2 linked regions of the Rhinolophus ferrumequinum genome follow. The protein of the gene in region 2 purifies or fractionates together with the protein of the main gene of each other region. This does not show direct contact. Links are inferred from orthologs where the notes say so. Each region holds a gene or a part of one and is shown on either strand. Other genes may lie near its edges.

Region 1 (11,245 bases), on a different chromosome or scaffold from region 2:
TCTCAACCACAAGGTTGCCGGTTCAACTCCTTGAATCCCGCAAGGGATGGTGGGCTCTGCCCCCTGCAACTAATAAGATTGAACACAGCACCTTGAGCTGAGCTGCCACTGAGCTCCCAGATGGCTCAGTTGGTTGGAGCGCGTCATCTCAACCACAAGGTTGCCGGTCGATCCAAGGGATGGTGGGCTGTGCCCCCTGCAACTAGCAACGGCAACTGGACCTGGAGCTGAGCTGAGCCGGCCACAACTAAGACTGAAAGGACAACAACTTGAAGCTGAACGGCACCCTCCACAACTAAGATTGAAAGGACAACAACTTGACTTGGAAAAAAAAGTCCTGGAAGTACATACTGTTCCCCAATAAAGTCCTGTTCCCCTTCCCCAATAAAAAATCTTAAAAAAAAAAAAAATGGCTTTCAAAAAAAAAAAAGAGTATCTTCTTCCTTACCACCATCATTAACAATACTTATTACCAAATTTAGGACAGATGCCCTGGTACCTGCTCATGGTCAAAACAACATGAGTAATAATATATTTGGCAAACCTATGCACTAAACAAATCAATTTATTTAAGGAACAGGAAAAAGAGCCAAATCTGATCTCTAAAATGTGTTACTTGGACAATCTAAGGGAAATGAGACTCACTTGCTATCTTTCCAAGCAGCTCCTTACTATTAATATTTACAGTCCTCATCCTTATACAATAGTACTTTAGGTTTTACCAGAATTTCACTGAATTACCTTGTTGAAAGAAGTGAGCTAGAACTCACAAATATCATTATAGAATGCACAAATTTGTTTTTGATAGTATTTGTTATAACTAAAAATTAATCTGTAACAGAGGCTGGCCTTACACAGTATTTTCACAATGCCTTTCTAGTAAAAATTCAAAGAATGTTATAATCATTTAATCCATTCACAATGTAAACTAAACATGAAATGAGCCAACTGAAGAACAGAGTCCTTTCCATAAAGGACAAGGAATAAATCTGAAGTTATCATCTAAGCACTTACATACACAAAGAGAAAAACCAGTGTACAGAAATGATTACTAGAGCCTGACAGAAGAGCCACAGCTCAAGGCCATTATGGTCTGTCTCGGATGTTATCATGCCATTCTAAGTCCTATAGGATCATCAAAACTTAAACCTTGCTTAAGATTTAAAAACAAAATCTGCTTTGAAGTTTTCACCCAGTTTCTTCAAAAAATCATTGTTTGCTAAAGTTCTCATAGACATACACACATTTTAAATTCTTAACAGTTTTCAACACAATCTGTTAAACATTAAATTAACCTAGTCTTAAAATCTGCCTTCATTAATGACCCACACATTTCGTTACCTTCCCTAAAAAATTCATTGTCAAGGAATATATTTGTCCTATTCATCGTGAGCATTAAGTATTCTTAAAGTTCATTAAACATTAAGCGATTAATGTACCCATCCACAAAATTTCAGGAAAGAGGAGAAAATCAAGTAATCCTAATTTAGATCCTAAATTAAGAATTCCTGCTCTCAAAGAGAAAGGAAAAACATCACTCTTAGCTTACACTGTTGTAAACACCAGTAATGAAATATCCCTTACCCATTTTGGCAGGGAAACACTATATTTAAGTCAATTTTGCCTTAAGCCAAAAGAAATTCTAAGAAAAATGAAAACAGTTGAAACAAAAACAAATGAGAAGAGGTGGTGGTTGCACAATTGAATGTATGATATGCCACTGAATTGTTCACTTTAAAATGGTTAATTTTAGGTTATGCGAATTTCAGCTCAAAAAATTCCATTTGTATCATTTTTTAAATGAGATACGTTTAATCACATGCCAGAGATGGGCATAACCAGGTTCCCCAAAGCATAGGACGGTGAAAACTGTTGCCTGCATTAGAAGCCAAAGAAAAACCAGCCAATATAGAGCTCAAGGAAAAAAAAAAAAAATCAAGTATTTGGGGAAGAGTCTCAAAAATCAAACTCCTAAAAAAAATATCTATCTATTTCCTTCAGGAGATCCCCAGGAAAGAGGAAAGCCATTTCAGAGTCTGAATTCATACTACCTTTCTACCAGATCAAACTAGACAAGTCCTTGATGTTCAGAGGACTTCCAAGGTGGCCTAGGGACATTGTTAAATAACAAAGCTGCCAGTCAAAGCACACAATCACTCTTACTAGCCCCCAGTGTGATGTCACTGCACTTCAGAGAAGGTCTCCTAGTACAGGATTATACATCTAGATTTAACATAACCTAGTTTCTACTAAAGATAGATTGTGAAAGTCCCTTGTCTCTTTCTATTTCTTCCTCCTTCCAGTCCCCCTAAAGAGAATAAGGCCAGAAAAACATTAATAGCATCTTAATTTCAAATGGCTCTCTGGGAAATGACAGCTAAATTAGAGTTGGTGAGGCCACTAAATCCTTTCTTTTCACTTAAAGTTGAGCTTTAGACAGTCTGGTATTTACATGGAAAAACTGGCCAAAGAGTTAACCAAATTATAGAGCAGAAAGGTCACTCCAGCCATCTTTTATTACAAGGGTGAGAGGTGCTAGTCAGATATTTCAGTGATAATGCAGTAACAATAGTATTTTAAGGTATCATTTAGCTCCTAAGAAATTACAAAAGACACCTAATTACAACAGACACACCTGTGATTTCCATTTAAATATAAAACTACAAAGTAATGTATTAATATTATACAGTAAGAGCTCAAAAATTTTACATCCAATTTTTAACTGAAATACCAACAAACTCTGGAAAACTTAAACCTAGGAGGAAAAAAGGAGAACATGTCCTATCTTATTCATTCCTTGTTCAGCTTGCCTCAAACCCGTGCCTAAAATGTAATATTTTAAAATATGAATCTGTTTAAGGAAAAAAATAAGTGGAAGAACTGAACTTTCTTGAGTCTTCATTCACAGAATGTTAGCTTTATATTAATTTTACCACCCAATTTTCAGTGAGGCTGTTTGCAGAACACACTATCCTTTTGCTTCCTTAATTGTTTAAACTGTTAAGATACCTGCAAACGGTTCTCACCTTACCACTATGCTTAGTCATCATTGGAACGTGTTACATGCCGTCTTGTCCAGCTGCATCTCGTTCATCTGCTGCTTTCTATTATTACTTTGTAAGTGTACCCTGAGGCTAACCAAGAGAAGTACACCAGGAAGGTTATTAATAATTTAAATTGTTCCTCACTGAGACCACCTTCTTTGTCATGCTGCCTTTTCTAAACTGACTGCGTTTTCTCTACTTTCTTTTAAAAAAAATTTACACCGATTATCACAGTTTGGTATTTTAAAAACACTTCCTTTCAAAAGTCAAAGTTTAATGAAGCAGCCACATTTTATTCAGTGCTTCATAATCAAACGTGCAAGTGAGTTCAGTAAAAGCCTGTCCCCCAAATAGAAGACTGTTTTGAAAACAAACAGCATAAATACATTCCTTGGATTCAAAGAATTTGGAAATAACAGGAAGTTCCAGTTTCTTTGCCTCTGGCTTAATCTACAAGCTTTTCTCAAACCAGATCATTCGTGCTAAATCCTAAATCCAGAAAGAAAAAATTCCGGATTAAGATTTATCCCCACTTGCTTCTCCCTCTTTCACACTGGGTCAGCTCTTGAAGCTTTTCTTCCCTTCCCCTGTCAGGAATTCCTGTTCTTTTCTCAGGTGCTCAAGATTCTTGGGATTTGCTCCTCCATTACGAGGTGGGAGAGAGGTCTCTTTACCTCAAATTACAGGAGACGGGCGAGGTTTGCCCATGAATGGACAAACCTTTGGGGGAATCCCTTTTCCCTTTTGCTAGCTGGACACGTCCCAGTGTCTCAATGAAAGACGCCAAGCAGCGAGGGTAGGTCCTCTCCTCGGCCTCCAGCCTCTACCGGCCACACCCCTGACCTCCGGCCTTCCTAACCCCCGACTTCGAACATATCCATCCTTTCGGTCCGCTCCCCCAATGCCCAGATCCCAGCTGCCGTACCCGAGGATTCCCGCACCCCGCCACAGCGGTGGAGTGCCTTTCTCCAACCCTCTTCCTCACAACGGTCACACCCGACGGCTCACTCCTTACTCAACGGTCACCTTCCTAGGATGTTCTCTCCTCTGCCGGTCTGCAACCCATCCTAGAGATCCCCCCGCCCCATCAAGGAGGGACACACCCCAAAGTTGGCCAGCTTGAACTCACCGGAGGCAAGGGCGGGGGTGGCGGCAGCAGCCAGAGAGCACTGCCCGAGTGGTGTTGTAATGGTTTCCTGCACGTCACGACTCCTTTTCCAGGTCTCAGCCACTGCGCAAAACTTACTTTGCCAGGGACAAAGATGGTGGACAGGAAACTCTGACGTTAGAGAACCTCGCCGCGCGACGTCATCCCCGCGCGCGGGAGAGAACCCAAAGTCGGTGCTCTCTGCAGTCTGGGGCACAGATTCCGCTTGGTCTGGAAGAGACCTGACACCCGCGTCTCAGATGGTTGTCTAGCCCAAGGGATATATTAAACAAGCTGACATGCTCTGAATTTATTTCCTCGCACAGTTCTCTAAAATCCTTACGCATAGAGAGGGTGAAATATCCTGTTCCTTTCTTAAAGAAGAAACAACTGAGCTAATTTCCCAGGCCAGTTCAGGAGTGTGGACAATGGTGATCCACCCCAAGACTATACACGGGCAGTGGGACTAGAGGAAAGTGGTGCAAGGAAAAAGGCTGAGATGGTATCAGATCTGAGTTCAAATCTCTGCCCTGAATGAGGCTGGGAAAGTTACTTAACATCTCCTTAACCTTTACGTATCTGTGAAAGGAAGTCTCAAAGGCTGTATCTCTCTTGGATTTGTGAAGCTTAACGGGGATAAAATACGTAAAACATGTAATAGGTGTGCTTACGCAAAACTTCCTTTTGTTAACCACAACCTAGAAATCTTGGTACCTTCCCCTCAATTTTGCTGTGAACCTAACAACTACTCAAAAATCAAGTCTTTTTTTTTTTTTTTTAATGTGGAGAGTGAGAGAGCCTGGGGCAAAAGCTGAAAAAAGCAAAATTTCAAAGGGACTGAGAGGAGTAGTCAGAGACGTAGAAGGAAAAGCAAGCAGTTATGTTTCAGGATGCTTTTAGAGTTCCATGAAAGTAGGAACTATAGCAATGTTCACTCTTCTATCTCTGAGGCCTAGCCTCCCTCCTCAAAATTTGTTGAATGGATAAATGTGTAAGTGACTAGTCAGTATCAGTTGCCATAGAGATAAGGAAGGGCTGAAAAGTGTCCAAGGATTTAGCAACACAAAGGTCTTTGATGTCATTGCTGAGAACATCAGTAGAGAAATGAAGGCAAAAGCCACACTGCAGAAGTTTGAGGATGAATGAGAGGTGTGGAAATGAAGTCAGGAGTAACAAATAACTTCATAAGAAAGTATGGCTGAAAAGAGAAGAGATATAGAATGGTATCTGAGGGAGAGACTAGCAAGATATATTTTTTAAGTTCTATACTCACACATTTTCTTTAGACTATCCCTTTAGCAATACCATGGGCTCAATTATCTTTCATACACATGACTCTAACATCTCTATCTCTCGCCTTGACCTGTTCCCCAAACTTCACCACCAAATTGCTAACCACACTGATGGGTAATTCTATAATTATGGCCCACCCAAATTAAGCAAATCATAAGGGAATGTGGGGCTGATTGAAAACCTGGTTCTAGGTACAACTCCCAGCAGACAGAGGTGGATTTTGTCAAGAAGATGCCACCAGAAAAATCTTAACTTTGATTCACATCTAGTCCCTATTCAAAAACTGACAACAGCTCCTCATTGCCTGATATCCCCAAAACCTATTCTTCCCCCAGTTTTCCCCATCTTTCTGACTTTTTCTTTAGTTTTCTCATCTACAAAATGAAAAAAATAGCAATACTCAATCATATTGTTACAAGGATGAAATGAATCAGTACATGTAAAGCACTTAAAACTATACCTGTACATAGTATTACTACGTAAATATTTGCTATAATTTTGATTGTTTCAATAAATTACACTAAATTGCTCAAGCCAGAATCTTGGGAGTCATTCTTTATTTCTCTGCCTTAACTGCCACATCCAACCCATCTCCCAATTGTCAATCCTACCTTCAAAATACATCTCAAATTCATCGAATCCCCTCTATTCCATCTCATTAGTCCAAGCCACCATCACTTCTTGCCTGGACTACTAGGAACCTCAACTCTCCTCCCAACCATAATCCTACAGCAACCAGGTTTTTGTTTGCTAAACTTTTTGAAGCATAACAAACATTCAATAAAGTGCACACATAATAAATGTAGAGCTTGATGGATTTTCACAAAGTAAACATAAACACATAACCATTACAGGGTCATCTTTAAAATATAAACCTGACCATGACTCTGGTGTATAAATCCTTCAATGGCTTCCCATTGCACTTGGACTAAAATCCAGGCTCCTTCTCATGGCCTATATAGACCCTGCGTGGTTTGACACCTGTCTGTCTCTCTAACATCATTTTACGCCTTTCAGTCACGCCTCATTTCCCCTTTTGCTATATATATTGTAACCCTCAAATACACCAAGTTCTTTCCCATCTGAGGTCTTCCACAATTATTGCTCTTCCTGCCTAATATCCTTTTTCTCCAACTCCTCATATGGCTGGCTCCTTATAATTTAGATTGCAGTTTAATTGCAGTCTCCTCAGAAAGGCACTCCCTGATGACCTAATAATCTAAATTCACCTAGAGCCAAATTTCTTTTGGCTTAAGGCAGGAACTGACTTGATACAGTTTTCCTGCCCATATAGGTAAGGGATATTATATTACCGGTGTTAATTTAGTTGTACCCTCCCAGCCCCCACTGTCACCCCCATCCCAGCCCTCCCAATTTATAAATTATATATTAGTATATTTACTTGTTTATTTCTCCCTCTCCAATTATACTCTAAATTTCATGAGAGCAGATACCATGTCTGTTTTTATTACTACTTTATAGCCAGCACCTAGCGTAACGCTTGGCATAGAGGAGGTGCTCAATATTTGTTAAAGAAATGAATGACTGTCCACAGGCAAAGTACTAAACCTAGCATTTAAAACCTTCCATAATGCGTCCAGATGTACTTTTCAACCCAGTTTCTACTATTCCTTTCAGTGGCTCCATGGTTAAAGGAAACTAAATATTTCCTCCTCCTATGACTTCATGCTGCTCCCTTAGCCTGGAAAGCCCTATTACGCCCATGACTTCCCCCAAAAGGACTCAGCTTTTGAGGTCCACCTAATTGACAAAACTTTCTCAGTGGACATCTGCTAATGAGATGAAGTACAGGAGATACCAGGTTACATCATTATATCAGAAAGTAACTGGCAGAGAGAAGCTGAGATAAAATCTGAGGTTAGAAATAACGTTATTGTTTGGTTACACAGACCTTACGTTTAAGCTAGTTTGAACTGCCTTATTTCTCCTAGGTGGTAGTTACCACTTCCACTAAACCCATACATTAACCTATCTGATGGCTCTTAATACCCTTTAACGTTATGTGCAATCACTTTTTGTGTCTTATCATCTATTAAACTATAAACCTGAGGGTGGGATTTGTGATGAGGTGTTTATTTATTGGCTGTAATAATTGACATTTGTTGTTTTTGACTACCTTTCCTTTTTCTCATGTAATAACTTTAGTTTTGGAGTATCCTCAGAGGACTATCAATCAAGGTGTTTTGCCCTCTTCTGGCTAAGAGTGAAACAGAGTGGAGAGGAAATCTGAACCAAGGTAGGTCAATAGGAATTTGAATCATAAGTATTGTGACAGAAATTTGTTTAAGCTCATTCATTTCAACAATGTTGCCTGGATGAGACTGCTTATTCTCACTAGAAACATCCAGTAGGATTGTGTAGTTCCTGTTCCTTCAGAGCTGACTTTCCTAATTTTGTTAGTTACTCCATATACTTTTAACAAATTTCTTTTTACTTTATTTTAGCCTGTTTCTGTTGCTTTTAACCAAAGAACAGTAATTGATACAAATGTTTAAATAATTTCCCACTTATTTTAGTTGATGCTCTTTCTCAACTTCGTCTTTTTGCTGTTCACGTAAGAAAAGCCTGTATATAATAGGTAACATGTACCAGGTGCTTTATAGAGATACATTATCTCTAGTCCTTAAACTCTGTAAGGTAAAAATCTTTGATCAATGTGACTTATCTGGCAGGTACGCTGGTAGACTAAAAAACACTTTTTAAAACTATAATTAAGGGTAACTTGCAAGATTTTATTTCTCTCCTATTCAAACAACGAAACCTAAACATTGTTTTTGAGGGTTCTCCTTAAGTAAACCAATTATCTGTATACTATAAGGTCCTCTAGGCAGTAAATAATATCTTCTATTTAGGGCTATTTAGCCCAGGGGTGGGGGAGAAGTTTTGGAGAAGACAAGTTGAACTTTAAGTCATCCGAATTCGATAAACCTGTATCAGCGATCCAAATGAGGCAAAGTTGCGTACAATGTAAGAAGCACTTTGCAAGCCGTGAGGCAAATTACATTAAGTTTGCTATACAATGAAAAGTACCTTCTCTGTCAAGCCTCCCCAGTTCATGCAAGGTAGAATTCGTCAGGATCCCTCCGCCTTAGTACTGTATTCACATTGCTAATGTGACACACCTACCATGTAGGAAGATAGGAACCGTTTTCATCTAGTATAGCAAGTGCCCAGAGTTATGCTTAAATGTAACCAAACCTAGAAGACAGGTAAGCTACCAGCTTGGACGAAAAGTAATCGTCCCAAGTTCCGAGGAACCGCAGGAACCTCATTCTAATCATCTTTCTTTACCATTGATGGCAATAAAGCTAAGACTCCAGCTACGTCGCTTCAAATCTTTCCCGAAGGCGGCAGAACATAAATTCAGCACCACCCTGCGGCGCGCCCAGAGCCTTCCCACTTCTACATTCCGCTTATCCCTCCATCCCTAACTAGATCGCCCGCGAGAACACAGGCCTCAGCAGCCGCCCCGAATCTGGCTCCAAACGGCGGCCCAAACACCTTGTCAAAAAGACCTCTGCAGAGATTCAGAGCTGTGGCTTTCCACCGAGACTGCGATGCAAAAAAAAAACAGCTGGAAGAAAAAAAAACTAAAACAAACAAGCGGAGAATTCCACTCGAAGGGAATCAATCACCTAGTGCCCACTTTAATTTCAGCGGGTGCGGAAACGGAAGTGCTTGTGGGGTCATGGAGATTTCTAGTTCCGGTTTCGGGCCGCGTTGGGGACTAGAGTGCGTCTCCGCCGCCGTTCCCCAGCGCCGGCGGCTTCTATTTCCGGGTGCGGCTTCTGTCATAAAGCTGAGACCTCCCTTCAAACGTGGCGTCGTGGGTCCTTCGCGCCTCGCCTGGGGTCAGCGCGCAAGGACAGGCGCGGGCGGGGATACTTGACAGCCAACAGGTGGAGCCAGTCGTGGCGTACAGGGAACCTCTGATCCCTCAGAGCCGGCTGTCTTTCGAGCCCTCACGATTGGGGAGTCCCTGATTCGCAGCCTCCAGGACTGCAGCTCGAGAGGACAGTGCTCCTTCTCCATACCTGTTCCTCAGTCGTGTTCTGCCCTGTGAGGTGCAGCGTTTGACAAGTCACCCCTTCCCCCCACACCACTTCCACCCACATCTGCGTTAACTTCGTTCTTAACCTCCTTGAGACTCCTCCCTCCTGCCTCCAGAAAGGGTCTTTTTTCCCCCTTTCCCATAAAAATTGGGAGGAGTTTCGGGTATCCTGCAGAAAGGTTACCTCTACGACAGCACCCATTTGATCCCCCACATAAGTTCATGCTTACTCGAGAGAGTGTGCGCCAAGTGAAACCCAGTGCGTACAGGAAACTATGGCTGAGCACGGGGCTCACATCACAACCGCTTCTGGGCTGGATGACCAGCCATCCATCTTTGAGGTGGTAGCACAGGACAGTTTAATGACAGCAGTGAGACCTGCTCTTCAACATGTGGTCAAGGTAAGGTATTACGTAATTCTTTGAGTGGTTTTAGGGACGACTGGGTAAAAATCAGTAATTTCAGTATTCCGTAGCCTAGCTTTGAAATTACCCATTAGCATATAATTCATATCCTATGATTTAACCGTTACTCAATCCCTGTTATGTGTAGAGCCCTGTAATGAATACCTAGCACTTCAGGGAGGATAGGGCAGACCCCCAAAGAAGTGACTTGTTTAATCCCAAAGTGTAGAATTTAGAGGGGGAAAGGAAATGTAAATACATGGCATAGTAGCTGTAAAATGCAATGAATTTCATTTAATTTACTTTGCTTTAGGTTCTTGCAGAATCAAATCCTGCCCTCTATGGCTTCTTTTGGAGGTGGTTTGATGAAATCTTTACCCTGCTAGATCTTCTGCTCCAGCAGCATTATCTGTCTAAAACCAGTGCCTCATTTTCTGAAAACTTTTATGGCTTAAAGCGGATTGTAATGGGGGACAGACACAAGCTTCAGAGACTGGCCAGTGCTGGTCTCCCAAAGAAGCAGCTTTGGAAGTCAATTATGTTCCTGGTTCTTCTTCCCTATCTGAAAGTGAAGCTGGAGAAGTTGGTTTCTAGCCTGAGAGAAGAGGATGAATATTCTATCCATCCCCCTTCTTCCCGCTGGAAACAATTTTACAGAGCGTTCCTGGCTGCCTACCCATTTATTAACATGGCCTGGGAAGGCTGGTTTCTTGTACAACAACTTCGATACATCCTAGGAAAGGCTCAGCATCACTCACCACTTTTAAGTCTGGCTGGAGTTCGGCTAGGTCGGCTTACAGTTCAGGACATACAAGCGCTGGAGCACAAACCAACTGAAGCCAACATGATGCAGCAACCAGCCAAGAGGTAAGGCCTTAACATTTCCCCAAAATCTATGATTAACAAGTTCTAAAATCTTACCCTAATTTTATGAAACTCACTTCCCTCAGTACACTTTGAGGTATTTTATAAAATCATAGAAAAATTGTGTCCATAAAACAAGGATTGCCATCCTGGTAACCTTCCTCATCATAACAACTACATTTTTGTGCACACCTGCTATGTGCCAGGCCCTGTGCTGGATGTTTGCTTTGTGTACGTCATCTCAATCCTCATCACAACCCAATGAAAAAAATGTATTAGCCCCATTTAACAGTTTAGGAAACTAAACACTAAAAGCTAAGTACCTTGCCAAGGCCACACGGCTAGAAGGATGGCAAAGCTGAGATGCAAGCCAGATCAACACAATTCGCAAAACTGCTCTTAACCACAATGCTATACTGCT
Region 2 (10,420 bases):
CAGGGCTCCATCACTAATGAAGTCTAAGGATGAGGTTACCATATGCTCCAGATTGTCTGCATAGTCCAGTTAATGTTTGTTGTCCTGGCATAATTATTAATAGTCCCCTGTGATACTGTGATTTATAACAAGAAATATATATTGGTCTTTATCTGTGCTTTTGGCACAGAGCTCCTAAAACTCTTGGAATTTCCTATGTTATAAGAGCAATAAAGGTGTCTTGATAGTCTAACAAACCTCTTTTAACAGTATCTGTGTTTATGTTATGAGGTCACTTTTAGAAAGCACTTAAGGAGAGGGGCTCGTTGCTAGGGGAACCAACCATGTGATTGGAGGACTAGAACTTTCAGTCCCACCCACCCTGACCTCTGATGGGGATCAGGGTTGAAGGTTGAATGATCATCAGTGGCCAAGGATTTAGTCAATCATGCCAACGGTAATAAAGCTGCCATAAAACCCCAAAAGTATGGGGTAGGGAGAGCTTCCGGATTGGTGAACACGTGAATATTCCACGAGAGCGGTATTCTCTGAGAAGGCACGGAAGCTCCAAGCCCCTTCTCACGTACCTTGCCCTATGTGTCGCTTCCATCTGACTGTTCCTGAATTCTATTCTTTTACAATAAACTGGTGAGCTAGTAACTAAAATCTTTCTTTGGGTTCTGTGAGCTGCTCTGGCAAATTAATGGAACTCAAGGAGGGGGTCGTTGGAACCTCTACTCTATAGCCAGTTGGTCAGAAGCACAGGTGACAACTTGGTCTTGTAATTGGCATCTGAAATGGGGTGGGTGGGGCAGTCTTACAGGACTTAGTCCTAAAGCTGTGGGGTTTGACACTATCTTCAGGTAGATAGTGTCAGAATTGAGTAAAACTGTAGGATACCCAGCTGGTGTTGAAAACCCACATACTGGAATTGGGGGTGCAGAATCGTATATGTAATTTATATGCTTTAAATGTCTATTCTCAATTTTTGTACTTATGTCATCATGGACCAGTTATAAACAGTTAAAAGACTGGCACTAGTCTATACATCACACTTTCTTGAGTATCACCATTATTAAGAAAGCAGAATAATACCTCTAAGAGGACACCCTCACGGTGGGTGTTTAATGAGTGTTTGCTCAAGCAAACGGTACTGAAAAATTGAGATCACAGTCTTACATTTAATGTCTGTGTAGATGATGTTTAGCTTCCTGTTGTTCCCTAGGCACAGACCATACACCTAAGGTCAAAATTCAACTAAGAAGACATGAACAGATGGCAAGAAGATCTCAAGAATACGTGCCTCACTAAGGATGAGCCTAGGACATTCATGCTGCTCTGCCTGACCATTGCAGGAACCTCAATTTATATTTTATGTCAATTATAACAAGTACATCTTAGTTCAATTATTTAATGTGCCCAATTCAGTCAATAGAACAGACTTTTCTAAAATGAAAAGGCTGAGCCCCAACTTAAGAAAGCATCTGGCTAGATATGCATTAGTTTCTCCCAGCAATGCATTCAAATTCTTTAAATGACTCAGAAAAAGATTACGACTCATAACAACACTGCGTATCTAACGATGATTAAACAGGAAAAGAAAACCTCATAGGTTTATGAAAAATTCTACAGCATATAAAAGGAAAACTCAGTGCTCAAGATGCACAAGAAGGCTACCCTTTTGAACAAGGTTTACCAAAGGCAATTTCTGTAAAACACATCTACTTTATATTTGCAACAAAAAGAATCAAAAGAAAGTAGATAAGCAAAGGGGTGTCTGTAAGGAAACTAAAATGCAGAAAATGGTGAAGAGAGAATGTTGCCTCTGTGCCCCCTGCTTCCATTCAGTAGATCTGGGTGGGGCCTGATAATTACATTTCTAGTAAGTTCCATTGGACTGAGAGATGGCAACATAGAATGGCTAGTTGGTATAGTGAAAATGACGTGGGTTTTGAGGTCAGTCAGGATCTGATTCTGGCTCTGCCCTTTGCAGGATGTGTGTAGCAATAGTTGACTTACTTTAATCCTGCTCATCCTATTTCCACATTGATAAAATAAAAGCAAAGCACACCTCCTAAGTGTATTGTGAAGGATGAATGATATGATTAAATATCTAACACAGTGGAGGCCTTCATTAAGGTCTTTAAAAATGTCGATCCCCTTCCCTTTGATTTCCTCTAAGGATGTACCACACATTTGCCACCCTTGGGTTTACAATGACAGAATTTAGCCATCCATGGGTCAAATCATTTCCTCCAAACCTAATAAACCCTCCCACTCACAAAATCTTTATTGTTCATCCATAAAATTGGGGATAATAGTATAATAGTATCTACTCTAATATAATGGATAATAGTATCTACTTTGCACAGATGCATCCATGAGGATTAAACAAGATGATATGTGCAGCGCTTAATATAGTAATGGCATATGGAAGATATACAGTATACGACAGTTTCCTGTCCTCTTCCCTTCAACTGGGTATTTAACCATAGTATCTCCTAGACCAAGTTCAAAAGCTCACGTAGTCTAGAATACCTCAAATCAATCTTTCCACCTTAATCAGATTGTTCCCTTTGTGTCACAAATTTGAAGTCAATTATTTGGTTTATTTAAGTACTGGTAAGGATACACTCTATTTTATTGGATGTTCAAGGAGATAAGTAGAATACTGTTCCCTGACCTTGAGGTACTTGGTTGAGGTGATAATATACATAGAAAGTTGAACAGGAGTGAAAGGCAGGGTGGAACAAATTATACAAAATGTGGTAAGAGTTGCGAGATTGTAACGGCTGATCTGTGATTATTTTGTATTCAGGAACTAGAGAATTACTAAGAGTTAGAAGAGAGATCTGCTTTTATGGCTGAGAAAACAGTCCAGAGATCTAAGTGTTTTAGGAGCACAGCTCTGGAGTGGCAGGTTTCCTGGCTCCTGGTCCCATCCTGCTGGTAGATTTTTCTGACTATTTTCAAGTATTTTAATCAGTTTACATTAGCTCTTTCTACGTAGGCAGTTTCGTGTAGCTAGTTAAGCACTGGGTTCTGAAGCCAAAATGGGTTGGAATTCTGGCTTTGCCAGTTACTATTGTTGTGACTTTGAGCAAGTCACTTATCTCTATGCTTCAGTTCCCCAATCTATTAAATGAGTAGAATAATAGTACTTTATTTCATAGGGTTGTTGTAAGGATTAAATAACTTAATATACGTAAAGCATCAAAAACTGCGATTTTGTCATTATAATTATTATCAGTCTCTGAGAGAATGGAAGGCAAAAGGCTATGGTCTTTTAATGATTTTTTTTCTTCTTCTTCTTTATAACCTCCTCCCTCAGATTCTGATCAAAGCATCCAGGTGAGTGTTCACTAAATACCTTAATCCTATTGGATAAAAATAAGTTTTTGTATCTCAGAAGTGAGATTTGTGATCTGGTTAAGTCTGGCCTAGTCTGATAACAAGACAGTCTAGAAAAGTAAAAATTGAGATAGCAACAGATTCTAGGACCCAACAGAGCTTCTTTAAAAAAAGTCAGTCAAGATCAATAGATGCAGAGAAAGATGGAGGTCAGTGAATCTAATTCTAAATGAGCTTGCCTATCTATTTTAAGACCTATTCCAAACTTCCTTAGACAAAATTCTAGCCTTTTAAGGGAAGTGCAGAGAACATTCCTCCCTGGGCTTGCTTTGAGGGACTGTTTTAGCAGGTTCTGCGTTCTGCCCTGGAGGTGGCTGCATGCATTTGTGAACTGAGGTGACAACATTGACTCCCTTCTGAAGAAAAGATGCTGTCTCTACACAGGAAGTTTAACTAGAATGGCACTACTTGAAACAAAAAGGAGGAGAGGAGGGAGAAGGAAAAGAGGGAAGAGAAAAAGAGGAGGAGGAAGGAGAAGTAGCAAGGACGCTGAGGCCAGCCCAGTCACACACAGCTCAGTTCAATATTCAGATTAGAGAAAGCAAGCACCATTTTTTCCTGGAGCACACTTCTCTACTCTTCTCAAATGCCTGCGGGGGAAAAAAAAAGATCCTGGGACGAATCACAAGCTAGGAGGGCTGTCGCAAAACTAGGGACCAAGGAGAGCGGGTAGAGGTGAGAAATAACCTAGATTCGGGAGTTAGAAAAATCACGGATTTGGGGTGGGGGGTTGGGCAGGAATTTGGCACTACATTCAGCATCATCTATCAGGAAATCTAGGAATGGAGAAGGGTACCACCCGGCCTTCCAAATCTTCTGCATTTGCTAGATGCAAATCACTGTCCACTCCCACCCTCAGCATTCAGGCGTTATCAGCGTAAAGTAGTAATCAAGGAGGGGAAATCTTGAAGTGAAAAAGAAGTAATCGAAGGTCAGCCTAGGGCTCTTGTGTGAGAGAGGCTGGCTTAGTGAAGGTCAGACCCACCCACAGCACCAGCAAAGGTGGAAAAATTAAGGGTCACCATCGGCAGACGAGCCCCAGATTTAGGGGTCAGAGCCAAGGAGTTCGATCTCCTGGTACCCCAGGATTTGTGCTGCACACACCCTTTAAATTTCTCGGTTTGAGTCTCGCCTGTAGATTCTCAGATGAGATACTGTATTATTAAGTGCTCTCACAGCGCCTAGCTCAGAGCTGATGGCTGAACCGGTTCTCAATAACATCTGGGAGCAAGAGCGTCTTTTGAGGTTGGGGGCGGAAGGGCACTGGTTTTATTTATGTTAGGGTGTGGCCCCGCATCAACTGCTAGCAAAATTTTCCCGATCGCCCTCTGTCTTCCACCTTCTGCCTAGGTGACGTCGGTAAGTCCCGCAGGACCGGCTAGGGGCTAAACTGTTAAGCTGCGTCCTTCAGGTGTCAGCCTCGATCCGTTTGGAAACCACAAACCCCAGAATCCCTTGTGCAGGGAGATCAAGCCGCAAATAAGATGGCTCCAGAAGGGTGGAACATGCAGCAGGGTGGAAACCCTAGTCCCTGGCAGTTTCTTTACCGGATGTGTTTAAATAACCGAATCCTCACAAATGCACCACCCCACTAACCACCTTCGAGGCCGAAGAGGCCACTGCCATCGCCTCCGCCTCGCTGGCTTCTCCAGGGGCATCCTGGGAGTTGTAGTTCCCCCCTGGGCAGCGCCGAACTACCTTTCCCATGGTGCCCTGCGGGTCGGGCGATTTCAACGTTCTTTTCTAAAACTCTCTCCGCACTGACACCCCCTTTTCCCGGTCCCCTTCTCTCCGACGACCCCTTCCCGTGTGTCGCGACAAGGCGGCGGGCCGCAGGAGGGCCCCAGCCGTCGCCGCACCGCCCCTAGAGGCACTTCCGGCGGCGGTTCACTTCCTGGTTGGGTGGATGGAGCCGGGCGGGAGCGCGCGCGGGGGAGGGGCGGCGGGTCAGTCTCCGCCGGGCGCTCCGGGGATCAGCTGGCGGGCGGGCGGGTGCCGAACGCGGCCCCGGCTCTCGCTGCAGCGCCGCCTCATCTCCGTGTCGCAGGCCGGCCCGGCGGCCGTGACAATGTTGCGGGGCTGGTAGCTGGGCGCCGGCCGCCGAGCCATCTCAAGTGGGTGCTACCGGGATGCTGCCTCGCGGGGCGGCAGGGAGATCAGGGAAGAGGGGGAGGCAGTGCTCGGCTGGGTCGGCATTGCCCAAGGCGGCCCGAATCCCTCCTTTTTCTGAGCCCCGGGCACGGGGTCCTGGGTTTTGGGGTCGGGGATGTGTTTTCAGCTCCAGGATTTTTCTCGTTAAGGAAATGCATGAAGCGTTTCCCCAGGATGATGGCTTTTGCTTCCTCTAGGACTCAGCAGTTGAATTTTCAAGTGTGTTACTGATTCATCCTCTCTCTCTTCCTCTGTCATCACAGGTTTAAACTTACACGAATCGCTCTCTTGAGGAGGAGGGGACCGCTGCGCGATTGACACGCATATTCCTGTAGGCATCCTCCCTCAGCCCCCACCCCCACGGCCGGATTCGGGTGGCTCCTTTCCGAGCTGAAATCCGAGAAGAAATCCTTGGATCTCTTGTTTTCTTTTAAAAAAAATCTAGAAGCTGTCGGTATTTTGCTTTACTGCTTCCTATTCGCAAGATGAAGAAGTTTTTCGACTCCCGGCGAGAGCAGGGCGGCTCTGGCCTGGGCTCCGGCTCCAGCGGAGGAGGGGGCAGCACCTCGGGCCTGGGCAGTGGCTACATCGGAAGGGTCTTTGGCATTGGGCGACAGCAGGTCACTGTGGACGAGGTGTTGGCGGAAGGTACGGTAGGACTCTTGCAGTGCGCGGTAAACGAAAATGTTGGGCTGATGCAGCAAGATTCTGGTTTCTAGTTGTTGAACGTATGAATGGGTTCTGACCAGTTGACCCTCCCTTCCCTCTTTCCTTGCCCTGTGAATCACTGCCCTTGAGAAATTTACAACAGACGTGAAAGTGACAGGGTTTCTGGGGTGGGGGAAGGTTGCCCCAAATTGTTTACCTCAATGGCTTTTTATGTTTTAAAAAACATTGACAAGCCAAATCTTGTGAGCCTCACTGAATTATGAGGAGCAGATGAGAAAACCTATATGTGAAAGTGCAAAGCTTCACATCAAAGGTAGGGGGTAGTGGGCTTGTCATCCTAAAACTTGAAATAATTGATGTGAGGGCTGAAGAGAGGAGGGTTTCTCTTTCTCTTTCTCCTCCCCAACTTTCCCACTGCCAAGAGCAGGCATTGGAAGGAAGACAGGATTTTCAGAAAATGGGAATGTTTTTTCTACGAGCCAAGGCTCTTGGATTTGACTGGGTTTGTTTCCTGACCCAGCTGTCATCAGGTCCCCAGGATGTAGCTAAGATAACAGAAATTACATGAAATGAATGTGGTTATTTTGAAATCCGTCCAGTAGGCCCCTCTCATCTCCTGTTTTAGTCACCCCTCCTCGCCCCCCCAGGAAGAATTACTTGAGAGTGGCATCATGATTTTTGCTTTTCCTCTGTTGGAGAAGGTGTTATTTAGATCTGCTCTGTGAATTCCATATCTATATCTAAATCTATATCTTGATTCCCCAGGCTTTCTGGAAATCTTCGCATGTCTCTTCGTAACCTTAACCTCGACCTTCATAATTATGCCAGACTCATACTTTTCACAGCCCATTGCCTGCCTAGTGTGCTTTTATTTTTAATAAAAGCAGCAATTTTCTTGGCATGAAGCTATTCAAACTAATTGGATGGGGCCAGCCTGCTGTAGGTTGTGTTATCAGCCGAGAGGGGATGGCGGAAGGGGGAGGCGTCTATCACTGCAATATGGAGGTGGTGGTGGGGAACAGTTTATTAGCTGGGGAAGGAGCCTTTTTGCAAGCTAAGGTTGAAAAGATTTTTTCGACCTGGGCCTGGGAAATGCCTGTCATAGTGAGTCTTGCAGGCAGGTCAGTTGGGAGGAGGAAGAAGCTGTGTTTGGCTCTCAGCTTGTCTAAACAGTGGATTCAGCTGGGCCCAGTTTTCTGGGGTTAGGGTTAAAGCCTCTACTTTAAAAACACTGTTTTTAAAAAGGTCTCACGATGCCCTTGTGAAATTGTTGCCCTTTTCCATCCTCAGTACTGCTCTAGCTAGACTTAATGTGCGGCCTGAGTCACTGTCCCTTTGGATCTTTCCTTGTGGGCTTTGGTGCAGGATGGGAGATGCTTCTGTGCCTGCTGCCAGATCCGCACCCTTGAGTCTGATGAGTCTCTTTCATCCCTGTGCCAAAACCCTTGACTGCAGTGGGATGGAGACATGAAGGAGTGGGTATGAGAGAAATCAGGAGGAATGATGGGGGCACAGAGCTCTTTCCTTCTCTCTGAATGGCCTCTGCTGACCTTAGAGCCCAGGAGCATTTTGTTCAGCTAGGATATTCTCTCATTGTAGATGGTGCTACCCTAAGCAGTGCCTGTCCTCAGAGTCTGAGTGATGGGAAAGAGAAAAGGCAAAGTTGGTCTTTGTCATTTAGGTTGCCCTCCTTTTCCCCAGAATTCATCCCTGAGAACTGTACATCACGCGTTATATTTTTAGAGGAATGTAGGGCTTGCAGCTCTGCATTCCTTCATTCGTACATTGGACAGACAGTTATGGCGTCTGTGATGAGCCAGGCACTGCGCTGGGCTCTGGGAATGTGCTCCACAACTAGACGCTGGAGTTTACAAACTACTTTGAGAGATGGAAAACAGCCACTTAGGATAGCGTGGTATGTGCAATCATGGAGATACATTTAAGGTGGCCCCCAATTTTCGAGAGCCAAGAATTGCTTTGTGCCGGAAGTGACTGACTGAAGAATGGATAGGAGTTACCCACCGGGTGTGATGACGTCATGGACAGAAATTCAGTAACGACACAGTCTCCTGTGAAGCTGGGGGTGGCAATGTTGCCCTCTTTATGTTCTCTGGCTAGAACTGAGTTTGAATTTGTGGCTATTAGAAGTATGTGGCTATGGAGGAGCCAGTGTACCAAGTATTTATGGAGCAGAAAGTGATAATTTGACTTCTTCATTCCCAATTTAGTTGCCTTTTATTTCTTTCTCTTGCCTGATTGCTCTGGCTGGCCTTCCAAATACTGTGTTGAATAACAGTGGTGAGAGCGGACATCCTTGTTTGTTTCTGATCTTAGAGGAAAGGCTTTCAGTTTTTCACCATTACGTATATTAGCTGACGGTTTCAAACACAGACTCTTATTACCACCAAATCCCACTGATCATCCCTTTTTCTCTAACGTGGGTATTCGTCTATGCGTTATAGTGCGGAATGGCAGGAATCTCGAGGAGGTGCTGGGGTAAGACAGGAGAATGCTGGGCTGCCAGCCCTCCATCTGCAGCGTCAGTCCTGCTCGCCTAGTTTCACTAACTACTGTGTTTCCCCGAAAATAAGACCTAGCCGGACAATCAGCTCTAATGTGTCTTTTGGAGCAAAAATTAATATGAGACTCGGTCTTATTATATTATGTAGCTAACACCCGGTCTTATAAGACCAGGTCTTGTATTAATTTTTGCTCCAAAAGACGCATTAGAGCTGATTGTCCGGCTAGGTCTTATTTTCGGGGAAACATGGTAGTTTAGCAGGGGCTTATTTGCGGGAAGTGAGGAGCATAAGTCATGAGTTCAGAGGGATGTGGCTTTATCTAGGCTTGGTACAGGGGAGGATATTTTCTCTCTAGCTTTCTCAGCAAGATGCCACAATGAGATGCTAGATCATGTCTGATGTAATGGGCATGTAATGTCAAGGAATGATTTGGTTTAAGCTTCCAGAATGAGCTCAATGGGAAAATTGGAGCGATGCTTAAAGAAGGACTGAAGCTATGCTTTTATCATACCTCCTTAGCTATATGAGGCCTTACATCTAAGCTTTAAACAATAAATAAATGTTTGTTGAATACCTGCTGTGTAGAAGACAACATTCCAGAACTGCTTAAGTTCTATATAAGGTGGACCAGGTGACCCTTCTGAACAATTTCTCACCTACACTAAAGGAATCCAGGTCTAGAGGTAATGAAAACTAAGTCTCCAAATCAGTAAACTTTAACAATTTCTCCTACCTACTACCTACAGTACAAGGTAGCAAGACTTAAAAATGTGTGTGAAACCACCTGAGAAAAAACCAAACACACACAGACACACACACACACACACACACACACACACAATATACATATATGACATATAATTCTAGCGTGTTGGTGGTACCAGTATGATCAATATGATGCATGCATGTATTCATTTAGTGTACGTTTGCTGGTACCTTCTTTGTGACAGACACTGTATTAGGTTCCTAAACTACCGGATGGATGGGACTTAGGTCCCGCTCATATGGAGCTCATAAACCAACAAATGACCCAAAGATAGGTGTCCATCACTTATCATGACGCTTGGTGGATAAAAGATAGTGGTCAAATGATATTAAGAGATGGTAAAGAGAAAGGGCCTGGGGGTGAGGATTTGCAGATGAAGTGTGCTTTGAACAGGAATGGAAATTGCCCAGCAGATGTTCCAGATGAGGGTTACCCAAGGTCTTCTAAACAGAGAGGATAGCAAAAGTATAGAGTGGTGAAAAAGAATGAGTTCCGAGAATACTGAGTAGTTCAGTGTTATTTTAAGTGTTAGTACAAGTTTCCCTTCCGGAATCAAGGAAAGAGGGACATGGAATGGCATAAGGAAATTCTTTTACAATTTGCTCCCTGGCTCTGCAGTGCTGCTTGTTTTGTTCAGTGGCCCTGGGGCGTTTGAGTAACTATTGAATAGATACCCACTATGTACTGCTCCCCTCTGGGCCTCACCTCTTTGTGGGGCAAGGGAGTGGCTAGTGTCTGGGGAAGGAGTGGTCCTGAAGGTTCAAAGAGAAGCAAGAAGCTTGAAGCAGAAGCAGATGGGACAGTGACATGACCAATGTTACAGAAAGGAGTCAGGGAAGACAATGAGAATGTTTGATCAGAGCAGAAGGTATGTTGGAGAAAAAAGAAAAGGAAAAAAGATTATAGAGAGCTTTAGTGCCAG

Evidence for each region. Proteins that work in one complex are often made in the same cells at the same time.
Region 1: the proteins of AAK1 (region 2) and AP2B1 purify together in Homo sapiens (affinity purification with mass spectrometry; 4 studies listed by BioGRID and IntAct, with this or other methods). This does not show direct contact. The link is inferred for Rhinolophus ferrumequinum from reciprocal best matches to the Homo sapiens genes AAK1 and AP2B1.

Annotation. Positions count from the first base shown.
Region 1 is NC_046304.1:23,146,017-23,157,261, reverse strand, and holds the start of AP2B1 (AP-2 complex subunit beta), read right to left. Parts: upstream 4,383-11,245; 5' UTR 4,174-4,382; intron 4,120-4,173; exon of another isoform or gene 3,970-4,119; intron 3,118-3,969; exon of another isoform or gene 3,027-3,117; intron 1-3,026. Other genes in the region: PEX12 (peroxisome assembly protein 12), read left to right, coding at 9,832-9,957, 10,274-10,827. UniProt on the Homo sapiens protein: Component of the adaptor protein complex 2 (AP-2). Adaptor protein complexes function in protein transport via transport vesicles in different membrane traffic pathways.
Region 2 is NC_046296.1:21,206,062-21,216,481, forward strand, and holds the start of AAK1 (AP2-associated protein kinase 1), read left to right. Parts: upstream 1-5,160; 5' UTR 5,161-5,287; intron 5,288-5,304; exon of another isoform or gene 5,305-5,504; intron 5,505-5,804; 5' UTR 5,805-5,872; exon of another isoform or gene 5,873-5,986; 5' UTR 5,987-6,026; coding exon 6,027-6,189; intron 6,190-10,420.